4 linked regions of the Saccharomyces cerevisiae S288C genome follow. The gene in region 1 interacts genetically with each later gene. Each region holds a gene or a part of one and is shown in the gene's direction. Other genes may lie near its edges.

What was found.
Region 2: mutations in PTP2 (region 1) and PTC1 together harm fitness more than expected from each alone (negative genetic interaction), as found in Saccharomyces cerevisiae (8 studies listed by BioGRID, with this or other methods).
Region 3: of PTP2 (region 1) and HOG1, a mutation in one rescues a mutant of the other (synthetic rescue), as found in Saccharomyces cerevisiae (4 studies listed by BioGRID, with this or other methods).
Region 4: mutations in PTP2 (region 1) and NBP2 together harm fitness more than expected from each alone (negative genetic interaction), as found in Saccharomyces cerevisiae (5 studies listed by BioGRID, with this or other methods).

What each region holds. Positions count from the first base shown.
Region 1 is NC_001147.6:729,823-739,774, forward strand, and holds PTP2 (tyrosine protein phosphatase PTP2), read left to right. Parts: upstream 1-4,102; coding exon 4,103-6,355; downstream 6,356-9,952. Other genes in the region: DNA-directed RNA polymerase III core subunit RET1, read right to left, coding at 186-3,635; NPT1 (nicotinate phosphoribosyltransferase), read right to left, coding at 6,615-7,904; DNA-directed RNA polymerase core subunit RPB10, read left to right, coding at 8,498-8,710; dynamin-related GTPase MGM1, read right to left, coding at 9,102-9,952. UniProt on the Saccharomyces cerevisiae protein: Major phosphatase responsible with PTP3 for tyrosine dephosphorylation of MAP kinase HOG1 to inactivate its activity. May also be involved in the regulation of MAP kinase FUS3. May be implicated in the ubiquitin-mediated protein degradation.
Region 2 is NC_001136.10:433,088-441,254, forward strand, and holds PTC1 (type 2C protein phosphatase PTC1), read left to right. Parts: upstream 1-6,821; coding exon 6,822-7,667; downstream 7,668-8,167. Other genes in the region: YDL009C (uncharacterized protein), read right to left, coding at 1-161; APC11 (anaphase promoting complex subunit 11), read left to right, coding at 410-907; YDL007C-A (uncharacterized protein), read right to left, coding at 3,480-3,737; proteasome regulatory particle base subunit RPT2, read left to right, coding at 4,960-6,273; MED2 (Med2p), read right to left, coding at 7,927-8,167. UniProt on the Saccharomyces cerevisiae protein: Serine and threonine phosphatase. Involved in tRNA splicing and cell separation.
Region 3 is NC_001144.5:367,772-376,557, forward strand, and holds HOG1 (mitogen-activated protein kinase HOG1), read left to right. Parts: upstream 1-3,848; coding exon 3,849-5,156; downstream 5,157-8,786. Other genes in the region: YLR108C (uncharacterized protein), read right to left, coding at 1-353; thioredoxin peroxidase AHP1, read left to right, coding at 1,010-1,540; CCW12 (Ccw12p), read right to left, coding at 1,926-2,327; YLR111W (uncharacterized protein), read left to right, coding at 2,620-2,952; YLR112W (uncharacterized protein), read left to right, coding at 3,020-3,439; AVL9 (Avl9p), read right to left, coding at 7,173-8,786. UniProt on the Saccharomyces cerevisiae protein: Proline-directed serine/threonine-protein kinase involved in a signal transduction pathway that is activated by changes in the osmolarity of the extracellular environment.
Region 4 is NC_001136.10:778,996-782,998, reverse strand, and holds NBP2 (adaptor protein NBP2), read left to right. Parts: upstream 1-1,898; coding exon 1,899-2,609; downstream 2,610-4,003. Other genes in the region: SEC1 (Sec1p), read left to right, coding at 1-958; U2-type spliceosomal complex subunit CWC15, read right to left, coding at 1,049-1,576; ACL4 (Acl4p), read right to left, coding at 2,793-3,956. UniProt on the Saccharomyces cerevisiae protein: Negatively regulates the high-osmolarity glycerol (HOG) pathway through its negative regulation of the HOG1 kinase activity. Mediates the binding between the PTC1 phosphatase and the PBS2 MAP/ERK kinase (MEK).

The sequences.
Region 1 (9,952 bases):
TAGAAAACACGTCAAACGTTCGATGGATCTTATAAAAAGTAATGATGTAAAGCAAGGTACAAAAATGAAAGAAGTACGGTTTACTGTTATATAATTTTCGAAATCGTTCAACTCTCTTAAAGTTCCTCACGAAATAGATATGATTGCTAACATAACGCAAAATTTAGTACAAGATATATGATTTCTTACTGCTGGAAGATATCTTCCAATCTTAATCTTGGGGCTATGTTCATGGATAATAATTCCTGGAATAACAGTTTTGCTGCATATGGAATAGTCATCTTAATAATATTCTCAGCACTTTTGCAGGTAGTACACCAACCACTATAGCCCATTAATCCACATTTATCGCAGACATCAACTTCAAAAGCATCTGAACTAATCATCAACCTTTCTAACAGCAATTGTGAAGCACCATACGCGATTACACAATCCCTCTCCATCTCACCCAACCTCAGACCACCATCTCTAGATCTACCCTCAGTTGGTTGACGTGTCAAAACAGCCCTTGGACCACGAGCTCTTGCATGCATCTTATCTAAGACCATATGCTTTAACTTTTGATAGTAAATGGGGCCAAAAAAGATGTAAGCCTGTAAACACTCACCTGTTATACCTGAATATAACATATCCTTACCGGAATAGTTGAAACCTTGGTCTACCAAAATCTTAGACATATCTTCAAGTTTAGAACCACCAAAACAAGTACCATATTCCAATGTACCATTCAATACACCAGCTTTACCCGATATCAGTTCGATCATTTTACCCACAGTCATACGAGATGGAAAACCGTGAGGGTTCATGATAATGTCTGGAACTATACCTTGATCGTTGAAGGGCATGTCTTCTTGCTTTACAATAATACCACAAACACCTTTTTGACCATGTCTAGAAGAAAATTTGTCACCTAATTCTGGCCTTCTGTTTTGTCTTAGCAAAACTTTGATTAAAGCTTGATCGTTATCCGAAACAGACATCATAACTTGGTCAATGTGAGAAGGTTCTGGACCTCTATATATTACCGGAGCTTCCCTATATTGAGTTTGGACGTTTACGTTGTTTGGGTTTGGGGCGTCTGCTGAGTTAGTTGGAACTGACTTATTTATATAAATTTGTCCACTTTGGACCTTCATACCCACCTCACCTAGACCATCAGGACCAAGAGATTGATGTTGCCAGATAGGATCTCCATTTTCATCAACTCTCATACCACCGATGATATCTTGGGTATGGTTCGCATATCTTTTCAAAACAGTGGTTGTCTTTCTACGTGTTTCGCAACGGCCGAAACCTCTATCGATGGATGACTTATTCAAAACCAAAGCATCTTCAATATCATAACCAGAATAGGACATGACAGCAACCGTAGCATTTTGACCAGCAGGTAATTTATCATAATCGATCAATTCAATTGTTTTGGTTTTCACCATTGGCTGTTGTGGATAAGTCATCAAGTATAATAATGTATCTATTCTCTTGAATTGATTGTAGGCGATTGCACCAATCGCTTGCTTACCCATCGCACATTGATATGTGTTACGAGGGGATTGGTTATGATGTGGATATGGAATTAAACCAGCAACAGCACCTAAAATTGTGAATGGCTCGATTTCTAAATGTGTCATCGAGGGAACTATATCTTTTTCATACAATGCAATGTAAGAATCGTTTTCTTCATTGACATCTAAATATTCCACCAATCCGAGTTTCAAAAAATCATCGAAATCTAACTCACCATCTAATAATTTGCGTAAATGAATATCTTTCACGCGAGATTGACCATCAGAAACAATGATTAATGGCCTACAAATTCTACCACCATCTGTTGCAATATGAACTGCCATTTGGTGAGAATTTGAATAAATTGAGATAAACTCCGACACTTTACCTGTTCTTCTCAGATGTCTGAACTGAGTAACGAATTTTGTTGGGAATCTGATTGAACCAATTAAAGTACCATTCAAATAAACACCATAGTTTAAATGCAAGGATGCACTGTCAATCAATGTTATGTCTTCTACACCAAGAACATAACATAATTTCTTTATAGGTTCCTCTTCGTCATCTGTAGTAATATGAGTCATTAATGCTAAATTTTTCACTAGACCACACGCCTCACCTTCTGGAGTATCTGCAGTACAAAGCATACCAAATTGAGAAGGTTGTAATGCTCTTGGACCGGAAACTTTTCTTGATTTTTCAAACTGAGAAGAAATTCTTGTCATCATACCCAATGCGGAAATATAAGATAGTCTGGAAAGAACATGTGTAACACCCGCTCTTTCCATCTTAAATCTTTTAAGAGACCAATTACCGGTTGAGATAGCTCTGTTCAGTCCGCTGGTGATGTTATTTGAATGGACGTTAATTGACAATAATGCATCGTATTCCATAGCCCTATTTGGTTTTTTCAAGACCTTATCAATGCTTAGTTTAAAATCATTATTAAACTTTTTGAACAAATCTTCGAACAATAAAGAAATCAATTGGCCTGCTAATTCAAGACGTTTATTACCAACATAATCTCTATCATCAATCATCTTAGGGTTATACATTGCCATCACCACCCTGCGCGTCATCATGGCAATATATAAAGCCTTTTCTCTAAAGTCAAGGGCTTCCACAGTCAAATGTGCAATAACCGTGGTAGCAATGGCCTCTATACCCTCTTGCAGGATAGTCAGTTTTTGCCTTCTCATTGTCTTTACTTTTGCACCAATATACTCTAAAGCTTGCTGTTGTGTGTAAATATCTAATTTCGAAGATTCTTCCAAATTGACTGCAAAAATATCTTGGTAGCTACTATCATTACCGCAAACCAATTGCATAATTTCTAAATCTGATAAAATACCACAGGCTTTGAGAACAATAGCAATAGGAATTTCTTCAGCGATGGAATTGTGCTTCAAATAGATCTTGCCATTTTTGGTAATGACATAAGTCTTAGATTTTCTTTCATGGGTAGATGAAGTAACGGAGGCCTGAACAATGCCTTTCTTCTCATCTGCCTCCACAATAATACGATTCTTGGATAATTGTTCTTGAACAAGAATTACTTTTTCGGTACCGTTAACAATAAAGTAACCACCAGGATCCAACGGACACTCGTTTAATTTAGCCATTTTCGATTCATCAGCATCATATAGGATACATTTATTAGATCTCAGCATGATCGGCATCCTACCAATTTCCACGTCTTTATGCATAATAATGTTTCTACCTCTAGTGTATTCTATATCCACGTAGATTGGTGCAGAGTATGTCATATCTCTAAGCCTACACTCATGAGGCGGAGTCAAATAATCTTTTGTCGAAGAAGAGGACTTCTTACCCACTCTAATATCGACGTACTTCAGGTAGAATTCTGGATCAACATCACTCAAAATTAATTGATTTGCCTTTATAATTTTTTTTAAATCTGTATCAACGAAGTAGTTAAATGAGTCAAGATGTTGCTTCACCAAACCTTTAACCTTCAAGAATGCTGGTAAAAGGTGCCACTTATCCTGAGCAGTATTGATTTCATCAGTTAGTTTCTTACCTTTATATACTGGTTTCAATAAATCATCAAAAGCCTCGTCTTTCACATGCTTATGTATATGAGTTTTCCGTCTTTTTGTCGCAGCAACCATTTTTCAACAAGCACTAAGTCCCTAGCGATTAAAACGCTCAATTATCAACACTTTAAACTCCCTTTAATTCTTTCCTAACTTGTCCATATATCATCACTTAAGCATAGATCGAAAAATTTTCAGCTCATCTCACAATTACAATTTCGTCCGACGTGATCTGGAAAATACGCGCCTGCTTTATGGAACTATTTATATCTTTATGTGTAGTACACCTAACAATAAGGAATATATAAAAATAATGCACCTATTAAAACCTTTGGGAAGTGCCAACTTTGAATCATCATCTTTCTTTGAACACCGCGCTGCGACCTTTGACAAGAAAGACGAGATCACTCAACCTGACAGACCCGATTCCCCTGGTTCCCCTCTTCCGCTTTGCACAGCCCTTTTCGCTTAGTTTGGAAGCCTAGGTCCGATCCCCAGTGCTATTAATAGTTTACAATAAAATAGGATCGACGTTGCTATTGATGGATCGCATAGCACAGCAATATCGTAATGGCAAAAGAGACAATAACGGCAATAGAATGGCTTCTTCCGCTATATCGGAAAAGGGCCACATACAAGTCAATCAAACTAGAACACCTGGTCAAATGCCCGTCTATAGAGGTGAAACTATAAATCTGTCTAACCTTCCCCAAAATCAAATTAAACCGTGCAAAGATTTGGACGACGTTAACATACGGCGGAACAACTCTAATAGGCATTCTAAAATACTTTTACTAGATCTGTGCGCTGGCCCCAATACCAACTCATTTTTAGGCAATACCAATGCTAAGGATATCACAGTTTTATCGTTGCCGCTACCCAGCACTTTGGTGAAAAGGTCGAACTACCCGTTCGAGAACTTACTAAAGAATTACCTTGGATCTGATGAAAAGTATATTGAGTTCACAAAGATCATCAAAGATTATGATATTTTCATTTTCAGTGATTCGTTTAGCAGAATTTCGAGTTGTTTAAAGACAACTTTTTGCCTCATTGAGAAGTTTAAAAAGTTCATCTGCCATTTTTTTCCATCTCCTTATTTGAAATTCTTTCTTCTCGAAGGCTCTCTGAATGATAGCAAGGCCCCCTCATTAGGAAAAAATAAGAAAAATTGCATCTTGCCCAAATTGGATTTGAACTTGAATGTAAACTTAACTTCAAGGTCAACTTTAAATTTAAGAATAAACATACCTCCACCCAATGATTCAAATAAAATATTTTTACAGTCTCTGAAAAAGGATCTAATTCATTATTCTCCTAATTCTTTGCAAAAGTTTTTCCAATTCAATATGCCTGCTGACTTAGCACCTAACGACACGATTTTACCGAATTGGCTAAAATTCTGCTCCGTAAAAGAAAATGAAAAGGTAATATTAAAGAAACTCTTTAACAATTTTGAAACTTTAGAAAATTTTGAAATGCAAAGATTAGAGAAATGCCTGAAATTCAAGAAAAAGCCTTTACATCAAAAGCAGCTATCACAAAAGCAGAGGGGTCCGCAATCCACGGATGATTCAAAATTATATTCTTTAACTAGTTTGCAACGACAGTATAAAAGTTCTTTGAAAAGCAACATACAGAAAAATCAAAAGCTAAAATTAATTATACCAAAAAACAACACATCTTCTTCGCCATCACCATTATCTTCCGATGATACTATAATGTCACCAATAAATGATTACGAACTTACTGAAGGAATTCAGTCTTTTACTAAGAATAGATATTCTAATATCTTACCTTACGAACATTCAAGAGTAAAGTTACCTCACTCCCCGAAACCACCTGCAGTTTCTGAAGCATCCACAACCGAAACTAAAACAGATAAGTCATATCCGATGTGTCCCGTAGATGCAAAAAACCACTCCTGCAAACCGAACGACTATATCAATGCGAACTATTTGAAGCTCACGCAAATTAATCCTGATTTCAAGTATATTGCTACCCAAGCTCCGCTTCCTTCTACGATGGATGATTTTTGGAAGGTTATTACTTTAAATAAAGTTAAAGTAATAATATCATTGAATTCTGACGATGAATTGAATTTAAGAAAATGGGATATTTACTGGAATAATCTGTCATATTCCAACCACACTATCAAACTTCAGAACACCTGGGAGAATATTTGCAATATTAATGGCTGTGTTCTCAGAGTCTTTCAAGTCAAGAAAACAGCTCCACAAAATGATAATATCAGTCAAGATTGTGACCTTCCGCATAATGGTGACCTTACTTCCATTACCATGGCTGTATCCGAGCCGTTTATTGTTTACCAATTACAATACAAGAATTGGTTAGATTCATGCGGCGTAGATATGAATGACATCATTAAACTACACAAAGTCAAAAATTCGTTATTGTTTAACCCGCAAAGTTTTATTACAAGCCTCGAAAAGGATGTTTGCAAGCCTGATTTGATAGATGATAATAATAGTGAGTTACATCTCGATACAGCAAATTCATCGCCACTATTAGTCCATTGTTCTGCAGGGTGTGGAAGAACAGGTGTTTTCGTTACCTTGGATTTCCTACTAAGTATTCTTTCACCTACAACAAATCACTCAAACAAGATTGATGTTTGGAATATGACTCAGGACCTTATCTTTATCATAGTGAATGAATTAAGAAAGCAAAGGATTTCAATGGTACAGAATCTAACTCAATATATCGCTTGTTATGAGGCATTATTAAATTATTTTGCCCTGCAAAAGCAGATAAAGAACGCGTTACCTTGTTAATAGAATTGTTTTTCTCCTATTATACAAACACTTTTCGTTTTGATAAATTACATAACCTCTCGTTGCATTTTATTTCATTATATAGATACATTAAAAATAAAAAAAAATAAATCTACAATTAACAATCTCCTCATAAAGAAACACGGGTTTTTTTACGTACTCGCAACTTCATATAATGTTTTATTTTTGCGATATCAGCTGCATATCTATATGTCATATTTATAAAATCGCAGAGATGTCAGTACCCATAACTGAATAATTAGGTCCATCTGTGCGCTTCGTTATCACCACTCCAACTTCGTTCAGTATATCCCAATTCCTCTTTCACTCTCTTCACAGTGGCAGGATCTCCCATATTTTTACCTAAGTTATCAGAAATTTTGATAGCGTGATTACCATTTACTTCTAATAGTTTGATAACGATGTTTAACGGCTCACTTTTAACCTGGGGTTCTGACTTCTTACGAAAATCATTAGTAAAGTTTGTGCCAATACCGAATGTGGCTAGCATTCCATTCTCTTTAGCTGCATGGGAGTAAGTTATTGCCTTTTCGACGTTCAAAGAATCGGAATAACAGATAATCTTCGAGAATTTAGGCAATTTCAACACGTCATGGTAATGGTGGGAAATCTTTTTGGTATACTCAACTGGGTCTCCAGAATCTTGTCTAACACCGACGTAAGCATCAGAATATGGTGGACGGAATGATTTTAAAAAGTCATCAGTTCCAAAAGTATCCGTTAATGCTAAACCAGCATTTTTTGCACCAAAAGTATTGATCCAACAATCCATTGCATTTTTATTGGCATGCAAATAATCTTCACTAATAGAAGCGACTCCCATAACCCACTCGTGAGCCACAGTACCGATTGGCTTGACTCCATATTTCTTGGCAAATAAAATATTTGATGTGCCTAATAATAGCGATTTGTTTCTGTCTGGGTTACCGTTCACAGCTTTCATGATTCCTTGCATAATTAGATCTTGAGCCTTCAGAGATCTACGACGTCTTGTACCAAATTCACTGAATCTAATACCATTATCAAACAAAGTTTCCGCCTTCTTCTCAGCTTGTTCTAATTGGTTTTCGTAGTCCCAGTCGATGTCAACAAATTTAAAATACGCTTCTGATATTAGGGACAGTAAGGGGATCTCATAAAGGATAGTATCCTTCCAACTACCACTGACTAAAATTTTCAATTTGTAGTGGGTGGGCTTGCCCTCGATTTCTTCTGAAGTGAAGGAAATCTGCTCTTCAGGGTGTAGTTTGTAATTAGAACTGCTAATATACTTAATATATGCCGATGGCAAATATGGGATTTCCTGTTTTAAGTATTCAATTTCCTCTTCTGTGAACCTCAAATTTCCCAAATACGAAAATTGCTCTTTCAACCAATTAATGGCTTCCTTATTGAAGGTCAATTGGGACGACCTGTTGGTATATTTATAAGTAACTGTAACATCTGGAAAATTAGTGAAGACAGCAGCATGCATCGTAATCTTGTACATGTCTGTGTCCAAAAGAGACTTTATCACTGGTTCTGACATGGTTATCTTGCTTGGCGAAAATAGGTACAAAAGGCTAAATCCACCTTTCTTCTAAAATATTATCTACCGTTTGTTTCCTTACAGTGACGAATTGAAACAAAAAAACTGATGGGATCCAATTTACGTTTCGATAACTGTTGAAAGGCTCGTCATTTTGGTTAGTCAAAGACAACAATTCTTTCATTTGCGAGTTTTTCCAGTCTTATAAGAACGGATCTGACGAATTTTTCACCCAGGCGCAGCAGCCATTTTTGTTGATATTTTGACGAATTTACAACGTAAAAAAGTAAGATGAAGGGTTCATATATGCAAAAGCAGACCTGATAAATCTTTTCATATTCTTGAGGTTTTTAAGCCCAAAATAAGCTACTATCAGCACTCCGATGGCTACTACACTGGAAGTGTCAGCAATTGAGAACACAAAGATCACGTTGAACGAAAAGTAATTTCTCACTCGTTGTATTTGGTAAAAAAAATTTCATAAGAAAAAAAAAAAGAAACATTGAATAAAATCACAATGGGATGATAGTTAAAGTGTATTCAAACTGTAGAGTGTAGAACGTAAACCTCAATAAGCAAAATAATAATACAAAATGATTGTCCCAGTCAGATGTTTCTCATGCGGTAAAGTTGTTGGTGACAAGTGGGAAAGCTACTTAAACTTGTTGCAAGAAGATGAGTTGGATGAAGGTACTGCATTGTCAAGATTAGGTCTAAAAAGATACTGCTGTAGAAGAATGATTCTAACCCACGTCGATCTTATTGAAAAGTTTTTAAGATACAACCCATTAGAAAAAAGAGATTAAGTGTTCCTCAATATGGCTGTTTTTGAACTTTTCTTTTCCTTGATGGATGAAAAAAAAAAGATGAGAGCGGTCATGAATATAGAAACGATAACCATTTATTCTCACACACTAAAAGAACTACACGACAACCAGATGTGTCTCTGCATACTGTAGGAATACCATTCTCTTCCAAAATAATAGAAAATAATATATATATATCTTTTGTTTACTCTTCAAGACGATAAAGGAAGTATGTAGATGTTACATCGTGCGATATAAGAGACTTGTATACTATAAGAAAGAGCTTAGATGAAGGGTATGCCTTTATTTTTTCAGAAAAATACACCCTAGTAATTATATAACGGTAAAAAATGCTATTTACAAATTCTCTAATGACACTATTTATTTTACATCATAAATTTTTGGAGACGCCCTTGTAGCTTTTCTTGAAAACCAAGATTGAATCTATTTTCTCCAAGGCTAATTCTAACAGCTCCTTTCTCTTTTGCAATTCAATATGCCTTGAAATCTTCGGATCTTCCTTAGCAAACATTTCCACTTGTTCATCTCCCAACAATGTTAACCTTCTGTCTAATTCAATAGGGAAGTTATAAAAAAAATCGCTTAATAATTCAACGTTAAGGAATAAAACAGCTGTGGAGGTCAATTTATCACTAACTGCAGATAGAAATACCTCTGGACAACGATCCTTCTCAATTGTCGAATGACATTTGTTTTTCAACATTTTTAATCTGAACGATAACACTTTGCACCTTTTATCCAGGAAAATAGCTTCAGAGCCTCTTTCCAATAGTAATTTGGACATGCCGAGTGTTTCTTTTTGCAAATTTGATTCATTTTCTAAATAGCCCATTACATTTGCTAATTTCTTACTGCCAACGGCATTTTTGATTGCCTGGTACCTTGAGTTACATTGACGTAATTCTTCCTTTATTAAATTAATGGAATGTTGACGAGCAAGGCTCCAGTCTCTTTCTTCCAAATCAATTTCATACTTGAAGGGTTTGATACAGTTCTCAACTTGATCAGCCGTTGAATAGTATTTACTGTTTAGAACGTTAATGGCTGTATTGCTAACAAGGTCTTTGATCAGTTCATGGTTTTTTAGTTGAGTAGACTCCAGAATGTTATCTAGCTCCTTTAAAATTGCATTGGTAGTAAGCATTGTAGATAATCTACCAATGCCCATTTTAGTTAAGCCGGATGATGCGAGTTCCAATTTTTTATGCCAATATAGCATAT
Region 2 (8,167 bases), on another chromosome or scaffold:
ATGATTAGGTCGTGAAATGCAGTGTAGTTGGAAAGGCGTAGTTTTCCTAGCACAAGGCGTTTCGGAGTTGGAATAAAGAAGCTATCACCAACGAAGAAGCTTTTTTGTCCAAGACATCTCTTAAAAGGGTTGTGAAAACATAAAACGCTTAATGCCTTCATATATACATATATAAGTTTATGGTTTCGATGTTTACAATAACTTCTATCCTTTGCTGGTCCATGCACTTCACCTTGGTAAGTTATGCAACGCACTTTTGTCTACGCCTGCATTCGATATAAAGGGTAAGCTGCCGAGATAACTTTTGTATCTTCCGTGTCTGCAGATAAAAAAATAATGCATTCTTCAAAAACTTTGTACAATATCGGGAGAGTTTAACAAGCAAAGTGGCAATACAGATTATAAAAATATGAAAGTTAAAATAAACGAAGTGCACAGTGTGTTTGCTTGGTCATGGCACATCCCTAGCACATCTGATGAGGACGCAGCCAATAACGATCCAATTGGCAATGATGAAGACGAGGATGTCTGTGGTATCTGTCGTGCCAGTTATAACGGTACCTGTCCAAGCTGTAAATTTCCAGGCGATCAATGCCCTTTAGTGATTGGGCTATGTCATCATAACTTCCATGATCATTGTATATACCGTTGGCTTGATACACCAACCTCAAAAGGACTGTGTCCGATGTGTAGGCAAACTTTCCAGCTACAGAAGGGTCTAGCAATTAATGACGCTCATGTCCAAAAGTTCGTTGAAATAGTTTCAAGAAGAAGAGAAGAAATGATAGAGGAGGGCGTCGCAGAAGAGTTTGTGGACTTTGATGAACCAATAAGGCAAAACACCGATAACCCAATCGGTAGACAGCAAGTTGATACCATCCTGGACGAAGACTTTTTGTTACGATAAAAAAGAAACTTAGAAATCACAATTAGCTATATTTCCATACGGTTCTTTTCTTGTGAACGCTGTTAACATTCTGTATACTTAAATGAAAATTTAATATTGATTTTTTCTTGTTGCAGCTAAAGATAAAAAAATTTTCTTTTCCAATCGTTGAATAGATGTACTGTAGCCGGAACTGAAGTTAAGGTTGTTAGATTGAAAAAGAACAACAGTGTACTAATCATGCTAACGATGACAGCGGTATCGTTGCATACTTAGAATACATAAAAATATGCTTCCAATCGGATTTGAACCGATGATCTCCACATTACTAGTGTGGCGCCTTACCAACTTGGCCATAGAAGCTTCTGATTTGTGTTCATTTGATTGTAAGTTAGAGTATTTCAAGCTCTAACTCAATTATGTGAACTTTCATAAAATTGTGTTATTTTTGAGAAATATGTGAGTTGTTAGATAATTGTTGGGATTCCATTGTTGCTAAAGGCTATAATATTGGTATACAGAATATACTAGAAGTTCTCCTCGAGGATATAGGAATCCACAAAAGGGAATCGATAGTTCTACATAATGTTATTATTTTATCTTCTTTCCTTTTATGCGTTGTCATTCATTATCCTATTACATTATCAATCCTTGCATTTCAGCTTCCATTAGATCGGATGACTGTTTCTCAATCTTTATGTCATCTTCTTACACCGCATGTGATAATATAATATTAAATAGATGATATTAGAGTTCAATTCCAACAATTTTCATTCTAGATAGCGGGAATATTACTGGGTATTCAGTATATCACAACGTCTCTTACAAGATAGAGGATACTACAAGAGGGAAGCAAGAATCATACATGGTAATGTTGTTTTTTCTTCCCCACATTTTTTGTTATCATTCGTTATTTATTATATTTTCAATGCTTGCATTTGCAGCTTCCATCTCATCTGATGACTGTTTCTCAATTCTTATAGTGTGTTATCATGTACGGTATTAGATGATGACATAAGGTTATGAGAAATTGTCGTCGAAGTTAAAGGAAGCTGTATTCTGTATACATAATACTATAGAATTTACAAACAGTGGAATTGCAACAATTATCAAATTATTCACCTAATAATCACCTTTAACATTCAGGGAGGTTTATTTTTGCTTCCGAAATTTTTACAGTCTACAGGGAAGAAATAAATATTTAGTTGAGAAAGTTTTGTTTATTTGTAAGTTATTAATTTGAAAAATAAATACCATAACTAGCGCAAAGCTTATAAAAGAGATGTTTGTTGAAAAATGCAGAAACCCCATATATAAAACCATGAAATGTCACAATGGACATGATGTACATTCTTGGAGATAACATCATATTCGAAATATTCAATATGCCCAATTGGTACCTGTTCTCCATACCCCATTATATGATACAAATGATCTGCCCCTATTCTAACACTGTGCTAGCAACATAGCAATTATACTAAATTTTTTCAGTCACTATGCAATACATGTAATCTCTCAACTACCAAGCAGTCATTATTCTATTAATATATATTTGTGCTTGGAAGTATTGTTTCACTTCTCAGAGGCCTTTCTTGACATGTTATAGTTTTTTAGGTACCTTCTAATCCTGTAAATTTATACAAAAATTGGTATATAATGGCTACCTCCGGAAATTTTAACAACTTTTGGGTCACACTATTACTGTGTATACTTCCTTTAGAGATCTCAAGCATTACTGAAAGATAACCTGAGGAAAAACATAGCGCGTCTACGGATGTGTAATACTCGCTGGATTTCCTGGTAAAAACTACTGTACATTTATCAGCTGCCTCTGCCAATGCTATTGAGAACCGTAGGTTCATTAGAATTACTTCATTCAACGGAAAACGTCACTATACCTGCCGCTTGTGTGTCGCGTCAGTAACGCCTTGACAGAAAAAGAAAGAAAAGAATATGACCGACCGATCGATGTATTATTATTATTGAACTGATTATAAAAAATTGGAACGTCGTAGAATCAGAAATCATAAGACAATGGCCAACTATGCCAAATCACACATCAATATTTAACCGAGATAGCAAAAGAAAATAAATTTCGATTATTTTTAAAATGTAACTGACAGTTTTTGGCACTTGTGGACTTCCTCTTTCCGGCAGATAGCAAAACCAACGGTAGAATGGCCCCGAAATTTAAATTTTATTTCATTGTGTGCTTGAGCGTGGCCTTTTTTTTTTTTTTTTTACATATCACAAACAATTCACACATTACCACACATACCATAAGCTAACGTATGCGGTGCAAAGTTCACTATTAGGCGCTTAAAGGCTTGGAACGAAATGACTTCTGGCTTTTGTTTCCTATACACATTCTTAGCAAAACTTTTGGTGTTGTAACAAGCAATGAGATAGAGAAAGAAATATATCCATCAATGGAAGAAATAGGCAGACGTCGGTAATTTTATTCTATTGAAAATATGCAAAAGTGACAGTATAAATTGAAGTAACTAATTTTACATCTAGTAAGCTGCTGTTGAAGAATTGAATAGTATCGCAGTATTTATTTTGTATACCCTTAGAATACACATACTTGGTGTTAGAAGCCATCTAATACACTATATAACTCGGGGATTAAATCATCTTGGAAGAGCGAATCTAGTTCAGGATCGCCTGTCGTAAAGTTCGAGGATAAGGACATCGAATTTAGTAGTAGTCCTAATGACTCGATGTTATTGTCTAAAATTTGTTCAATTTCTTTTCCTGATTTATCATCGTCTTCTTGAATAGGTAAACAGTAATATTTACCAAAGTTCAGGAGGGTTAGGATGGTGTGAAAAATTATAGGAAGGAACATCAAGAAAGTGCTTGAAATATTTTTCTTGGATTATGGAAGTATCAAGAACGATATTATTTCAATAATGTGATGGTTTATATCTTTGCATACAATAGATTTTGTGATACTTTTTTTATGTAATGGTCCCGTAACCCCGTCGCTCTTTCCCTTTTAATTTTGCCCGATCCACTTTCTATGCCGGTAGTTTAGCCGCCAAGTGCTATTTTCAAACGAATCAATAGTAGCGGCTGCAACTTTGAAAAAGAAAGAAACAAAATTATGCGCTAGTTTTCCATTTCTTGTATTCTTTTTTCTTTTGCGGTGGTAATTACGGGAATTTAGTGATGTTGGAACGAGAGTAATTAATAGTGACATGAGTTGCTATGGTAACAATCTAATGCTTACACCGTATATTAATGTACACCTCGTATACGTTTAAGTGTGATTGCACCTATTGCAGAAGGAATGTTAAACGAGAAGCTCAGACAATACTGAAGCTGTGCTAAAGATCTATTAATTGAACATGATATGGTAGGTACATATATGAGGAATATGAGTCGTCACATCAATGTATAGTAACTACCGGAATCACTATTATATTGGTCATGATTAATATGACCAATCGGCGTGTGTTTTATATACCTCTCTTATTTAGTATAAGAAGATCAATACTTATTTCTTCATTAATACTATTTTTTACCTCTAACTATCAACAAGTGATAATTGTTGGAATTCCATTGTTAATAAAGGCAATAATATTATGTATACAGAATACAGCTTCCTCTAACTTCTATGACAGTTTCTCATACCTTATGTCATCATCTAACATTGTACATTATAATATACTCGTAGTAAGACTACTAGTTGAGAGAGAATAGTTGATTTTTATTCTAACAAATAATATTCCAGCAGGTTTACATATTCCTAGGTTTGGGATATATCTTAAGTCAATAATTCATCATTAGTAAGGCAACTTGGCCGAGTGGTTAAGGCGAAAGATTAGAAATCTTTTGGGCTTTGCCCGCGCAGGTTCGAGTCCTGCAGTTGTCGTCATTTTTATATTCCCAATATTTTTATCACTCCGGGTAACGAGTTATTAACGGTTTTTCTCCGGTGGCAAATGTCTCTTTTCTTTTACCTAAAAGAAGGTTAATGTGAATATTAGTGAATATGATGCGTATCAGTGTCAAGCTTACAGTCAATTCAAGTTAAAGAAGAGACAGCGTTTTTAATAGAAAATAAAATGGGACAAGGTGTATCATCTGGACAAGACAAAAAGAAGAAGAAGGGATCTAATCAGAAACCCAAATATGAACCTCCCGTTCAATCTAAATTTGGTCGTAAGAAAAGAAAGGGAGGTCCAGCTACTGCTGAAAAATTACCCAACATATATCCAAGTACTCGTTGTAAGTTAAAGCTTCTAAGGATGGAACGAATTAAAGACCATTTGTTATTAGAAGAAGAATTTGTCTCTAACTCTGAAATTTTAAAACCCTTTGAAAAGAAGCAGGAGGAGGAAAAGAAACAATTGGAAGAAATACGTGGAAATCCATTGAGCATTGGGACCCTTGAAGAAATTATAGACGATGATCATGCGATAGTGACAAGTCCAACTATGCCTGATTATTATGTATCTATCTTATCCTTTGTCGATAAAGAGTTACTAGAGCCTGGATGTTCTGTGTTATTGCATCATAAAACCATGTCCATCGTAGGTGTTTTACAGGATGACGCCGATCCAATGGTTTCGGTCATGAAAATGGATAAGTCGCCAACAGAATCATACAGTGATATTGGTGGCTTAGAATCTCAAATTCAAGAAATAAAAGAGTCTGTAGAGTTACCGTTAACACACCCCGAACTGTATGAAGAGATGGGTATCAAACCTCCCAAGGGTGTGATTCTTTATGGTGCACCCGGTACAGGTAAGACATTGCTAGCAAAGGCTGTTGCAAATCAAACATCTGCCACATTCTTAAGGATTGTTGGCTCAGAGTTAATTCAAAAATATTTGGGGGATGGTCCTAGGTTGTGTAGGCAAATTTTCAAAGTAGCGGGTGAGAATGCACCAAGTATTGTATTTATTGATGAAATAGACGCCATTGGTACTAAAAGATATGACTCCAATAGTGGTGGTGAGAGAGAAATTCAGAGAACCATGCTGGAATTGCTGAACCAGCTGGACGGGTTCGACGACAGAGGGGATGTGAAGGTGATTATGGCCACTAACAAAATCGAGACTCTTGACCCAGCATTAATCAGGCCTGGGAGAATTGATCGTAAAATCTTATTTGAAAACCCTGATCTAAGTACTAAGAAAAAAATTTTAGGGATTCACACTTCCAAGATGAATTTAAGTGAGGACGTTAATCTTGAAACTTTAGTAACAACAAAGGATGATTTGTCAGGCGCCGATATCCAGGCAATGTGTACAGAAGCAGGTTTGTTAGCCCTTAGAGAGAGAAGAATGCAAGTTACAGCGGAGGATTTTAAACAAGCCAAGGAGAGAGTCATGAAAAATAAAGTTGAGGAAAATTTAGAAGGTTTATACTTGTGATGTGCCCATTTACATTTTTCTATAATAGATTTACGTATATAAGTAATGCTTCAACAAAGCTTAATATGTGTACATTTTGTATCACGTGCAATATTTGTTTCAAAAACTTAATATAGGTAGGGCGTCGGGGCCTTCGCGAATTCTAACTGCAAAGGAAAACTGGTGAACACATCTGAGAGGGTTTGTTGTCCTAATTTTATAGGAAACTAAAACTCAAAAGACAAAGTATACCTTTGCAAATTGAAAGCTTAGTTAAACATTATTATTCGTGTGTTTGAGGTCACTTTTTTTCGTCTTAAACAGCTCTCAAAGTTGTCTCAAAATTTTTATCCGGATTCCTTTACATTAACAGACCCCAAACACAACAAGTTTTGATAGTTTAAGTAAGTGAACGCTTATTTTTGTTGTCGTTGAAAAGAAAATAAATAGGCAGTATTATCAATTAGGAGGTGAGTTAAATTCCATTCTATACCGAGTATACGAGATTTTGCACATTCTTACTTCATATATCATTTAGGCACTGCATTTATCTTTTAAAAATCATTATAATGAGTAATCATTCTGAAATCTTAGAAAGGCCAGAAACACCATATGACATAACTTATAGAGTAGGTGTGGCGGAAAATAAAAACTCGAAATTTCGGAGGACAATGGAAGATGTTCATACGTATGTTAAAAACTTTGCTTCAAGATTAGATTGGGGATATTTCGCGGTGTTTGATGGACATGCTGGGATTCAGGCCTCCAAATGGTGTGGTAAACATCTTCATACAATTATAGAGCAAAACATTTTGGCAGATGAAACACGAGATGTTAGAGATGTATTGAACGATTCATTCCTAGCCATTGACGAAGAAATTAATACAAAACTTGTAGGAAATAGTGGATGTACTGCTGCTGTTTGCGTATTACGTTGGGAGCTTCCGGATTCAGTTTCTGATGATTCAATGGATTTAGCCCAACACCAAAGAAAGTTATATACAGCAAATGTTGGTGATTCTCGAATAGTATTGTTTAGAAACGGGAACAGCATAAGACTGACTTATGATCATAAGGCATCTGACACTTTGGAGATGCAGAGAGTTGAACAAGCAGGTGGCCTGATAATGAAAAGTCGTGTAAATGGTATGCTGGCAGTGACGAGATCGTTAGGGGATAAATTTTTTGATAGTTTAGTAGTGGGCAGCCCATTTACCACGAGCGTAGAAATAACTTCTGAGGACAAATTTTTAATCCTAGCGTGTGATGGATTATGGGATGTTATTGATGATCAAGATGCATGCGAATTAATCAAGGATATTACTGAACCTAATGAAGCTGCAAAAGTCTTGGTTAGATATGCTTTGGAAAATGGCACAACAGATAATGTAACGGTCATGGTTGTCTTCCTCTAAGAAGGATCCGTTATAAACCGCGCAAAAATTATGCATAGACATAGAGATATGCAATGTGTATGTGTGTATGTATGTATATGTATAAACGTACCAAATCTATTTTGCATGCATCTCTCACATGACGAATGAGGTTTTAGTAGAATAGGATTCCAGATTTTTAAACTGGAGAACATATTCTATCATATATATACCAATTAAATTCACGTAGCGAATGCACAACACGGTTTACAAGTCAATAGTTAACAATAGGAAGACCAAGCTATATATTGAAGCCGCTGAGGTCTAATTCGCCATTATCTCCAGTGGTCGACCAGTCAATATTAAGGTCGTTGAAATCATTTAATGTCAAGTATTCTTCACCGTTGTCGGCTGGAGGAGGGTTATCTCCAGGATTGGAAACAACGGTCGTTGGTAAATCATTATTAACTATATTTTCATTATCATTTCCGGTAGTGATAGAATTGTTCTTGTTATTGCTGTCGTTGTTGGTGGTATTGTTA
Region 3 (8,786 bases), on another chromosome or scaffold:
TAGTCGTATTCTTTTATGAGTTTAACTAACTTGGGTAACTGAAAATATAATGCGTCCGCGAAAAGACAGGTAAATTGTACTTCGTTCTTAATATCGGGAAAATAACCTTGTAAATGTCTGTATATTATGATGAACACGTCTTCCGATCTATCAACAAATAGAATCGTATTTTTATCGTGCGTATTGAAGAATTGGGTGAAAAAATTGGGCGCATCCGAATTCAATGTAGCACCTGAGATCTCAAATAGCTTTTGGCCAATCCTAATCTTGAAAACTTCATGGTTTGGTAAAAGCTCGGGGGTAGTTTCTAACTCTTTTGTATAAACCACGATCTCGCCCTTTTGGCCAGACATCTGATATGAGCGTGCGTGTGAGTGACTTTACACTTGTCTATCCACGTCCTGAAGTTGTTCGTGTTCTTTGGATATTCGTGTTCAAGCTAATAATGAGCCTTTAAGGTAATACAATTTATAAACCACCACCTTGGCCTCGATCTATTGCGCTTATGTTGTCTATTAGTAATCAAGAAAAGAACCCTAAATCATCGGCGTCCCCTGTGGGGCTCTCGGAAAAACCGGTCCTGACGTCACTGAAAAGATTTCGGCACATGGTCATGGGACCAGAGAAAAATTAATCCGACATGTGGAATATTTCCTTCCGTTAAGGTAGTGAGCGCGGATTTTTTCTGATTTGTAATTATACGGGGAGCTCTGGCCAAAAAGGTCAGTATTTGGTGATGAAGTTGAATATCATCTTTTGATTTTCTTCTGTATCATTCTTTTTCTTTTTCCACACCCCTTCCGGACGGTATTCACATATTGTTGAGAGGTTAAATGAAAAATAAAGGGGTGGAAAATTAAGGACGAGATGTAAGGGAAAAGCATAAACGAAACATTATATAAAGGAGCACAATTTCCTCTCCCTTGCCAATTGTGCATATACCGTTTCTTTATAACGAAATTTCAACAAACCAGAACAACACAAGTACTACCAATAACCACAACAAAACATGTCTGACTTAGTTAACAAGAAATTCCCAGCTGGCGACTACAAATTCCAATACATTGCTATCAGCCAAAGTGATGCTGACAGTGAATCTTGTAAGATGCCACAAACAGTTGAATGGTCCAAATTAATTTCTGAAAACAAGAAGGTTATCATTACCGGTGCTCCAGCTGCTTTCTCCCCAACCTGTACTGTCAGCCATATTCCAGGTTACATCAACTACTTGGATGAATTAGTTAAGGAAAAGGAAGTTGACCAAGTGATCGTTGTTACTGTTGACAACCCGTTCGCTAACCAAGCGTGGGCTAAGAGTTTAGGTGTTAAGGACACCACACACATCAAGTTTGCCTCCGACCCAGGCTGTGCTTTCACCAAATCCATTGGTTTCGAATTAGCCGTCGGTGACGGTGTTTACTGGAGTGGTAGATGGGCCATGGTTGTTGAAAACGGTATCGTTACTTACGCTGCCAAGGAAACCAACCCAGGTACCGATGTGACCGTTTCCTCAGTCGAAAGTGTCTTGGCTCATTTGTAGATGCTATGTAATAGACAATAAAACCATGTTTATATAAAAAAAATTCAAAATAGAAAACGATTCTGTACAAGGAGTATTTTTTTTTTGTTCTAGTGTGTTTATATTATCCTTGGCTAAGAGGCACTGCGTATACTTCAAGGTACCCCTGTGTTTTGAAAAAAAACAACAGTAAAATAGGAACTCCGCGAGGTTCAGGAACCTGAAACAAAATCAATAAAAACATTATATGCGTTTCGAACAAAATTAAAGAAAAAGAATAAATATAGATTAAAAAAAAAAAGAAGAAATTAAAAGAATTTCTACTAAATCCCAATTGTTATATATTTGTTAAATGCCAAAAAAGTTTATAAAAAATTTAGAATGTATAAATAATAATAAACTAAGTTTACAACAACAAAGCAGCGGCACCAGCCAACAAAGCACCAGCAGCTGGCAAAGCCTTAGCAGCAGCACCAGTGTAAGAGGTGACAGAGTGAGTTGGAGCAGCAGAGGTGGTGTTCTTTGGAGCTTCAGTAGAGGTAACTGGAGCAGCAGTAGAAGTACCGTTCTTTGGGGCTTCAGTGGTCAATGGGCACCAGGTGGTGTATTGAGTGATAACGTCATCGACGGTGACGGTAGCGGTGGAAACCAAAGCTGGGGAGACAGTTTCAGAACAGACGTGGTCTTCACAAGAAGTGATGGTGACCAAAGTGGTAGATTCTTGGCTGACAGTAGCAGTGGTAACGTTAGCAGCGGCAGAAGCGACAGCGGCGACAGCGGCGATAGAAGCGACAGTAGAAAATTGCATTATTGATATAGTGTTTAAGCGAATGACAGAAGATTAATTTCTTGGTATGTTAGGAAAGAATAAAGGAGAATAAGAATAATTAGAACAATGTAGGATGGAAAGAAAGATTATCAAGCATGCCGACTTTATATACTTGAACGGAGGCAAAGGATGCAAAATTTTCTCACATTTCTTTCTGCCGTTATGTTGGAAGTAAGACTCCCATTATCGCAATACTGCAACACGAATATGCAAAATTTGCTGAGTTATCGCAGATAGTTGTTGCAAAGATAGCGGCGTAGGTGGCCGCGAAATGGGGAATTCCAAAACAAACGGTTTTTTTACTCCTGAGAAATACTTGTACGGGATAATCCAGGGCCTACCACCCACGCTTCGAGGATTGGCTTTTATTTTTTTTTTTTTGGTGGCGTTTTATTTCTTTCCCGCTTTCTGGGACTTGTGCGGAGTTTTGAGAGGGGCGCGCGGCAAAGGATTCCCAAAACGGAAATCAGACGCCAATAGCCAGCACTCAAAGCAGTTCTGGACCCATTCCGATTTTCCCATTTGGTTCTTGCGCGTGCTGATTCCGACACGCGCGTCTATAAATAGCATGAAGTATCCGCACACCGCAGCGTTAGTGAGGTGAGGGTGGCAGCAAGCTAATTCCCGCATCTGGAATCTGAACTGCCCCTTTTGGACTAACCGTGTGGTTCATGGGTGGGCGAAGTGCGCAACCTCGAAGGTTTTCTTTTGCGTGTCGGATTTTACATCCGGCGGTAGCGCATGATGCCATGGCTGGCTCCAGATACATCCTCAGGGCACCAGCATCTATAATTAGATTGGCGCAACATGGCTGGCTGCACTGCTGTCTTCACTTCTTTCTTTTTCCGGCAATGAATGATGTATGTTTTGTGGCAAAAGGGTCCGCATTGTACCTGTTTACAGTTGAGATTATCGTTTTTGGTAGCCCTTCATTACGGCATAACGTATTAAGTTTCTTTTATTTTGCTTTGCCCTGGTTTAAAAGACAATGTCGATTAAAAGTTAATTTTAATCGATTGAAGGAAATAAGAGGAATAGCGCAAGTTGTTAGGAAAGCGTTCTTTATCTCCAAGACTTTGCCCTGTATATAATTAAACACCTCAAAGCGCTTCGTCATGGATGGAGATTATTCGGCATTTTGACATACAGGAGTGCCACATGCGAAAGCGGAGTGGGCGTATTCTCTGGTTACCCTACATGGTCTGGCGGCGTTATTATACGGGAGGATCTTCGAAGGGAAGGAAGGAAAAAAAAAAAGAAAAGGCCAACGAAAAGCAAATATTATCTATCGTCGAAATTATCATACTATCTTACAATAAGAGTAGTAATTACTTTCTTGTTTGTATAGTGGAAGAGGAATTTGCGATAATAATAGCAAAAGTAACTAATCTCTAACAAGAAACCTTATTTATTTTCTCTTTCTTCTATATTGGTAAATACTAGACTCGAAAAAAAGGAACAAAGGGAAAACAGGGAAAACTACAACTATCGTATATAATAATGACCACTAACGAGGAATTCATTAGGACACAGATATTCGGTACAGTTTTCGAGATCACAAATAGATACAATGATTTAAACCCCGTTGGGATGGGGGCATTTGGGTTGGTTTGCTCAGCCACGGACACTTTGACATCTCAGCCAGTTGCCATTAAGAAAATCATGAAACCTTTTTCCACTGCAGTGCTGGCCAAAAGGACATATCGTGAACTAAAACTACTAAAACATCTAAGACACGAGAACTTGATTTGCCTTCAGGACATATTTCTTTCTCCATTGGAAGATATATATTTTGTCACGGAATTACAAGGAACAGATTTACATAGACTCTTGCAAACAAGACCCTTGGAAAAGCAATTTGTTCAGTATTTCCTATACCAAATTCTAAGGGGTTTAAAATACGTTCACTCCGCGGGCGTCATTCATAGAGATTTGAAACCGAGCAACATTCTGATTAATGAAAACTGTGATTTGAAGATTTGCGATTTCGGTCTAGCAAGAATTCAAGACCCTCAAATGACAGGCTATGTTTCCACTAGATACTACAGGGCACCTGAAATCATGCTAACGTGGCAAAAATATGACGTCGAGGTCGACATTTGGTCCGCTGGTTGTATTTTTGCCGAAATGATTGAAGGTAAGCCTTTGTTCCCTGGGAAAGATCATGTTCACCAATTTTCGATCATCACTGACTTGTTGGGATCTCCGCCAAAGGATGTGATAAATACTATTTGTTCCGAAAATACTCTAAAATTTGTTACTTCGTTACCACACAGAGATCCAATTCCATTTTCTGAAAGATTTAAAACAGTCGAACCTGATGCCGTAGACCTTTTGGAAAAAATGCTGGTTTTTGATCCTAAGAAGAGAATCACTGCGGCGGATGCCTTGGCTCATCCTTATTCGGCTCCTTACCACGATCCAACGGATGAACCAGTAGCCGATGCCAAGTTCGATTGGCACTTTAATGACGCTGATCTGCCTGTCGATACCTGGCGTGTTATGATGTACTCAGAAATCCTAGACTTCCATAAGATTGGTGGCAGTGATGGACAGATTGATATATCTGCCACGTTTGATGACCAAGTTGCTGCAGCCACCGCTGCCGCGGCGCAGGCACAGGCTCAGGCTCAGGCTCAAGTTCAGTTAAACATGGCTGCGCATTCGCATAATGGCGCTGGCACTACTGGAAATGATCACTCAGATATAGCTGGTGGAAACAAAGTCAGCGATCATGTAGCTGCAAATGACACCATTACGGACTACGGTAACCAGGCCATACAGTACGCTAATGAGTTCCAACAGTAAACGTGTTTTTTTAATGTCCCTAACCACTCATTCTTACTTCTTTTTGATGTTTCTTTTTTTTATGGTACTCATAAAAGTATTTACGTATATAGTTGTATAGAGGAAACAAAAAAAAAAAGATAAAACTCAATTACAAAGTAAAGTGGACGTATTTCGATCATGATTTTTTTCTGTTTTAACCGCATTGGATTTTCTTGTAAAACTGGAAGAAAAAGGAAACTAAAAAGTCAAGAAAGACCTTTTTAAGACTCCAAGAACCGTCACTTATGGCGTATTGTTTGTTTATCAGCACTTCTATCTTCGATAAAGGTTTGTCTGTCTTATATTGTTTACATTTCAAGTCTAATTCTGTGCTTTTACCGAAGAGGAATTTTCATAAATACGGAGAAAATATAAAAAAAAAGTAAATACAGAAAATAGAACAGTTGAAGCAGAAAAAGAGAACTTGCTAAATAGCTGTCTCACCCAGACAAGCGTATACTTACCACATTTAGTCTTTTGCAATCTCATTCTTGTTGAAGATAACTATTACATTCACGGACTGTGGCAGAAACTTCTCCTTAAGAAATTAGGAACTCATAAAAGGAATCAGCAGCTCTATGTAATATCAAAATCTTTTCTATTTTTTGTATTTATGCTCTCATTCATTAATTCTAACGGAGCTATTTATTATAAACAGTGAAGATATAAACCATATGTCTAATAGAACAAATTTCAAAAAGTCTTCAATTTCGTGGATGTGGGAATGCATTTATTAAAAATAATGAATGGCAACATACGACACCAAAATAGGAACACTTTCAGTACTATACAGAACTACGGATCTTAGTTTATTGAGTTTTGAGAAATAGGTTGATATGGAGACAATTTCTTAGCGTTATTAGAGGTTATAAGTATACAGAATAACCTACGAGTAGTCCTCAAGAAGATAAGACTCTGCAAAAGGTATCAATAATTTTACTTAATCATAGCACTATTTCTTCTTTCGCTTTGTACAGCAGCTCATATATTCCATTACATTATCAATTCTTACATCGTAGCATAAAACACTAAGATTCAAAAATAGAAAACTGTTGTATCTCAAAATGAGATACGTCAGTATGACAATACGTCATCCTAAACGTTCATAAAACACATATGAAACAACCTTATAACAAAACGAACAACATGAGACAAAACCCGTCCTTCCCTAGCTGAACTACCCAAAAGTATAAATGCCTGAACAATTAGTTTAGATCCGAGATTCCGCGCTTCCACCACTTAGTATGATTCATATTTTATATAATATATAAGATAAGTAACATCCGTGAGTTAATCTGATAAACCGTTTTGACAACTGGTAACTTCCCTAAGACTGTTTATATTAGGATTGTCAAGACACTCCGGTATTACTCGAGCCCGTAATAAAACAAAAACAATAAATCTTGTTCCTCGTGGCCCAATGGTCACGGCGTCTGGCTACGAACCAGAAGATTCCAGGTTCAAGTCCTGGCGGGGAAGATTTTTTTGCTCCGACAATTATGTCGCTACCCTTCAGTTTTGTTGAAAATGATGCTTTTATCGTTAACTTTACTTATCTTTATTGTTTGCAAGATTACTATTAATATTAAAGAGGGTCTAGCAAGGATACTGCGATTGTTTCTAAATATTTCAACTTTCTACGTTATTCATCTTTAGGAAGCTAAAAAGCATTCAAAAGATTACTATGAAGTTAATCTTTAAACATAGTTTGATGAGCGTCTATGCAAATAGAATAACTTCAAAAAATTTTCTATTCCATTTTTGGAAAGCCCCAAAAAGCTATATTCTATAATTTCTGAATCTTATTGTGCTTGTGGAGGTCACCCCAGTTTTCTATAAATTATTATTCAGCTATTATCCCAATACGACTAAAGGTATTGAGATTCACGGATATTTTTTCCCCTGCAACTTTCACAACTGGAGGGCTCTGTTTCTTGATTTTCTTTTTGTCATATAAACATATCTTAGCGCGATTGCTAACAAATAGTATAGATATCATAATTTTTCCTCATCCTGCACACAATTACCTATAGCAGCGTCATTCGCACCGCCCTCCTCATTGGATTTTTTAACTGTATTTCTCGTTTTAGATGAGTCTTCAACATTTCTATCGTTTTCATAAATATCAGTTTTACTGTCGGAATTTTTATTGCTCTCAGGACCACCTTCAATATCTTTATCTGCAACGGTTTCGTCCTCATTAAAATTTTCTGCATTACCCTCAAAATTCTGTTCATTTTCTTTATCATGATCAGTGTTAATGTTCGTAACGTCTGTAAAACCATTGCTAAAATCTTGACTGTCTTCCTTATCGCCATTTTCATCGCCCTCACCGTCATCGCCATTTTCATCGCCCTCACCGTCATCGCCATTTTCATCGCCCTCACCGTCATCGTCATCGTCATCGTCCTCACTATCATCGTCATCACCACCATCATCATCATCATCCTCAGAGTCCTCATCAGTATCATCATCTTCATTGTCCTCACTATTTCCCACCTCTTCACTTTGTTGATCTGTCTCCGCATCAGGTTTATAATGTAAACCCAAGCCCATCATAGCTTTCTGTATCGCGTTCGATGTTTTACTTCTGTTTTTGAGATCTTCTGTGGATTCAGTAACATCTTCATTAGCAGTATTCTTTGGTTTATTGAAATATTCCTTCCATGAATTCCATAAGTTGGCTGCTGGCTTGTCTGTATTCTTTCCAGGATTTACAGAAATTTGGGAAACAGACTTTTTTGACTCGATGCTTTCCTGGTCTTTGATATCCTCCTCGCTTTGATGACCATTTTTATTGCTTGAAGAGTTGCTAGAGCTTCTTTTTAAATTATGAAATGTGGCCAAAAATCGTTGCTGTAATAGAGACAGAGTGTCGGCACCGTTATATATATGCTTCGGAGGAAACAAGTCGAACAATCTATCATCTGTTCTTGAGTTGAATATCAGAAAATTTTGAGTCTCTTTCCAACTCTGAACCCAATTCAAATTGAATAAATGAACGGGATTGGAATTTAGCATATCCTCAGGTATAGTCTTCAAAGCTTGATCATTCTCTTTATGCAGGTCCAAATAATCACTTAATTTAACACTGGAAAGTAACCCCGTTAAATAGTCCTCGAATTGCCACCTAATGAAATCCTCACTGCCTTCAAATTGAGAGTTTTTTGGAGTTTCATCATCATTTTCGTTCCATGTGTCTGATACAATTCCAGATATAGATTCAATCCATTTTTTATCATGACTTGACAATTGGAGGACGGGGTTCAAAGTCTTGTCCAGAATATCTACAGTGGAATTGTCTGTATTGACAAATATGTGGCACAGTTCCTCCTTTTGTTCAGCAAGCAATGTGTTGGAACTTCCAATCATAAAAAACAAAGTACGTTCTGACCGTATGTCATTCATTTGCTGCAGTGGAGTATAGGGTGAAAATAGTCCACCTTTTTCGAAAATCGGTAATGGAAAACCTAAGAATCTCAACACTGATTCTCGATTGCTTGATTTAAACGAGTCCACAACATTTAATTTCGAAATATCCTGAAACAACTGAGGACTGCCAGAATCCTGCAAATTTGACATCAAGTCCGGAATTAAGCTGATCAGACC
Region 4 (4,003 bases), on another chromosome or scaffold:
TGAGAAGATAAAGCATATTATCGATGATCTCTTACCAGCGTTAGCAATGAAGGAACCGACAATCTTAGATAAATTGCGTTACATTATTGCGTATGCTCTTTTCAGAGGTGGAATTATCGAGTTAGACTTCATTAAATTATTGAACTTTATAGGAGTTACTCATGAACATGAAAATTTCCAGCAATATTTAAAAATATTCAGAAATTACGATTTAATTGATTTCAAATTGATCAAAGACAAACCGAAGGATAAACCATTTCAAAAGGAATGGTTTCATGATACTTTAGTGAATGATCCAAATATCTATCACACTTCAAGGTTCGTTCCCGCTGTAGGGAATATTCTTTCAAAGGTTATAGCGAATCCATTGTTATTGAGCGAACAATACTTCCCATATTTAAAGGACAAGCCAATTGAGTTATTGAATGAAGAAGAATTCCAAGCAGGCTTAGCGAATACCTCTGCTAACTCCTCCTCATCCTTAAGGAATCCCCGTCACAAGGCAGCTTGGACCACGAAAAGCTCTAATATAAAAAAAAACATACCTAGACAAAGATTCTTCTACTATGTTATTGGTGGTATATCAATTCCCGAAATTAAAGCTGCTTATGATCAATCAAACTTGAAGAACAGAGATATCTTTATTGGCAGCGACGAGATATTAACACCAACAAAATTCTTAGATGAAGTGGAACGTTTACAAAATCCTAGAGAATTTTTCAAATTCAAGGAAGATCAGCGCCAGCAAGTAAACCCGCCTGATTTCCTTCTAAGGGAAATGAAACCGGTGGCACAACCAGTCTCTCATGTTCATTTAAAAAGCCAAGACAATAGTCCTAAGTCTGGTACTTCTAGTCCCAAAGCAGCAGGTTCTCTCAAGTCAGAACCACCCGAAAAAGAGAAGAAACGTAGCAAATTCTCGAGGTTCTTGAAAAGAAAATCTCACCATGATAAATGATCCCTTAAAGAAGACAGTGATAAAAAAAATCACTTGCTCTTGTCAAAAAAAAAAGATATAAACGTACTATTTATGTATCGTTCCTATGTACTATCTAACATGCTTATGGAGAAATTCTTGATGATATTCAGATTTTGTCATATCGTTAATGTATCCGGACGCTGATTTTTTTGTTGCATGTTCCTTAATATTTGTCTCTTTGGTTACTTTATGGCGTCCAAACGCCGTGCCCTTTCTCCACGATCGCCTAGACGAATTTCCTCCCTTTAATTGTTCATTTCCTTCAAGCTCTGCTTTATCTTCCACTTTATTTTTTTGAGTAACCAGCAGCTCTTGCAACGAGTCTTTTTGGTCTTTCTCACTGCGGGTTTCTTGGAGGTTCCCACTCCCCACAACATCCTGTTTCTCTTCGTTCATTACTGCCTCCTCTAAAGATTTATCGTTGCTCCTATCTTCTTGCGCACAGTTTGCTCTAAGATTTTCCTCCTCTTTAAATTTCCTGTATTTTAATGTTGTATGTCCTGGTAGTAATCTGGCATGCTCGATGCCTGTTGGTGTATAAGCGGCCGCTTTTGCACCGCTTCTTGCTTCTAACTGTGGTCTGTGTGATGTGGTCATGGTCTTGTAGCCCTTTCAAATGCCAGCCTCTGAGCAAGTTCTTTATGGAGCCTTTTGGAGCTTTGTCATTCCTATTTCCTTTTCGTGAAGAGATAGACTATTATTTTTAGTCACACCAACTTATTTTTCCAGTTGCGAGAAATGGAGAATTCACTTCAGAAGTAGCTTGTAATGGACAATGCAACACAGTGCACAGTAACAACACGCTCAATCACACATAATAACAGCTACCAATAAAACGTGATAGATACTAACAAATTTTAAGTATTTTTCTCAACTTTACCTTACTTTAACTTCCACTGACATATTTATTGAATCTACGATGGCAACGATGGAAACGACCACACAAAAAGATACCAATATTTTGAAATCTGGTCTCAAAAAAACTATAGGTGTTCTCAATGAGGCAGTATTACAGAACGGGAGAGAGGTGGAGGCAGTGCAGGCAGGAAATAGTGACACAATGGAAGATACAGAAACAACCACAATAGGTTATATATCAATCAAAGATTATGCGTACGCAGATTCGAATCCTCTCCATTATGGTTATTTTGATGGAGACAATGAGGAGGATGAAATGGTTTCAGATTCTTCAAATGGAGAAGACACATACAATAAAAGACAAAGTATAACACTACCAGACGACTACATAGTTAACCAACGTGCTGTTGCCCTCTACGATTTCGAACCCGAAAATGATAATGAATTGAGATTGGCTGAGGGTGACATCGTATTTATCAGTTACAAGCATGGGCAAGGTTGGCTAGTAGCAGAAAATGAGTCAGGATCAAAAACAGGGTTGGTACCGGAGGAGTTTGTCTCTTATATACAGCCGGAAGATGGTGAGAACGAGGTGGAGAATAAGGCTCGACCTTTCTATTTGACACATTTGATTACACAGAGCGTTAGTCCTAAAAACAATATTGATAACACTAACGAAGATGAATACGACGACAACGATGAATGGGAAGATATTGATGATGTTGCGGAGGTCGAAGCAGATATGAAAACAAAATTAGATATATCGGATTGAATACAAATTCCAATTGGTTATGACAGTAAAATACTCACTAAAAACAGATAAAGAGGTCACCACCCTGGCGGTATGCCTGGCCGAATCTTCTTCCATCTGTTCTATGTCATAATTTCCGTTTCTTACGGATATATACATATATATCAGTGTATGTACTTATGCATATGTTAAATTAGAAGACTATTAGTCAGAATATTCTTCCTCTATGTCCAACTCTTCCAAGTCTTCATTCTCATTCACTAAATCACCCTTCTTGATTTGTGTTAACTCACTTGGATCTAGAGGACCACCAATTTCTTGGAGTAAAGCATTAGCACCGCCCAATAATTCTTGCACAATTTCATCTTTGCTGTCAGCATTGACACCTGCTTGCAATGCAAAACTTAGCGCTAATCTTGAGTCATAGATTAACTGGGAGATTGGTTCGTGGGATAAATCCAAAGGAACTTCTTGAATGAGTTGGTTAAACTCGTATATATTTTCCGGACGCAGGCTTACTTCGGGATTGTTCAACTTGAAAATTTCTAATTTACTCATTAAATAATAAGTAAAACCCTCTAGATAATAACCCTCTATGTTATCCTCATCTATATCTCTTACTGCGGCAATAACTTTCAATGCGACTTCGTAAGCTCCCACTTCGAGGCACATCTTTGTTAAAGATAAAAGAGGTTGTAAAAGATCTACATACTCTGACTGTAAACCAGCTTTCTGAGTTGTGTCACCATTTTCATTTATACCGCTACCAATTTCTTGTTTTTTCAACTCAAAGAAATTCCAGGCTTGTGAGAATGCTTCATAAGCTTCTCCAAATTTTTGTTGCGAGATTTTGATAGAACCCAGGGTAGACCATGTTTCAGGAGATTTTCCCTCTGTGAGTTCCATCGCCTTTTGTATTAACTCCTCACACTGCTCTTCTGCATTTGGCTCCATACATAAATCCGTCATCCAAATTTCAATCACAGAAAGCAGTCCACCTACAATCTTTTCAACCTGAACGTTGGTTAACATTTCACCTCCAGTATTAGAGATGTTCATTATTCCGCGAGTTATTATCGATACACCATCCTGTCCACCCATGATTTGACCCATGGTAAAAAATTTGTCCGGTCCGCCAACTTGTCCCTCAGGATCTAATTCGCAAGCACGCGCTAAAATTGGGTAGGCTTTCTCTACCTGTCCATTATCCAGGTATGCATCGGCAAACACTTCATTCAGTATTACATTGTTTGCGTTTTCTTTTTTCAGTGAACTTTTGAACGGCTTCAATATTTTGAGCGCCTTTTTGGCATTATTTTCAGCCAGGGCTTCTTTGGCTTGCCTAATTGTGGCTTCAAGTTCACTCATATTCCTTTTTTAATCCTCAGCCTGAAGATGCTTTTAGGTATAAGTTC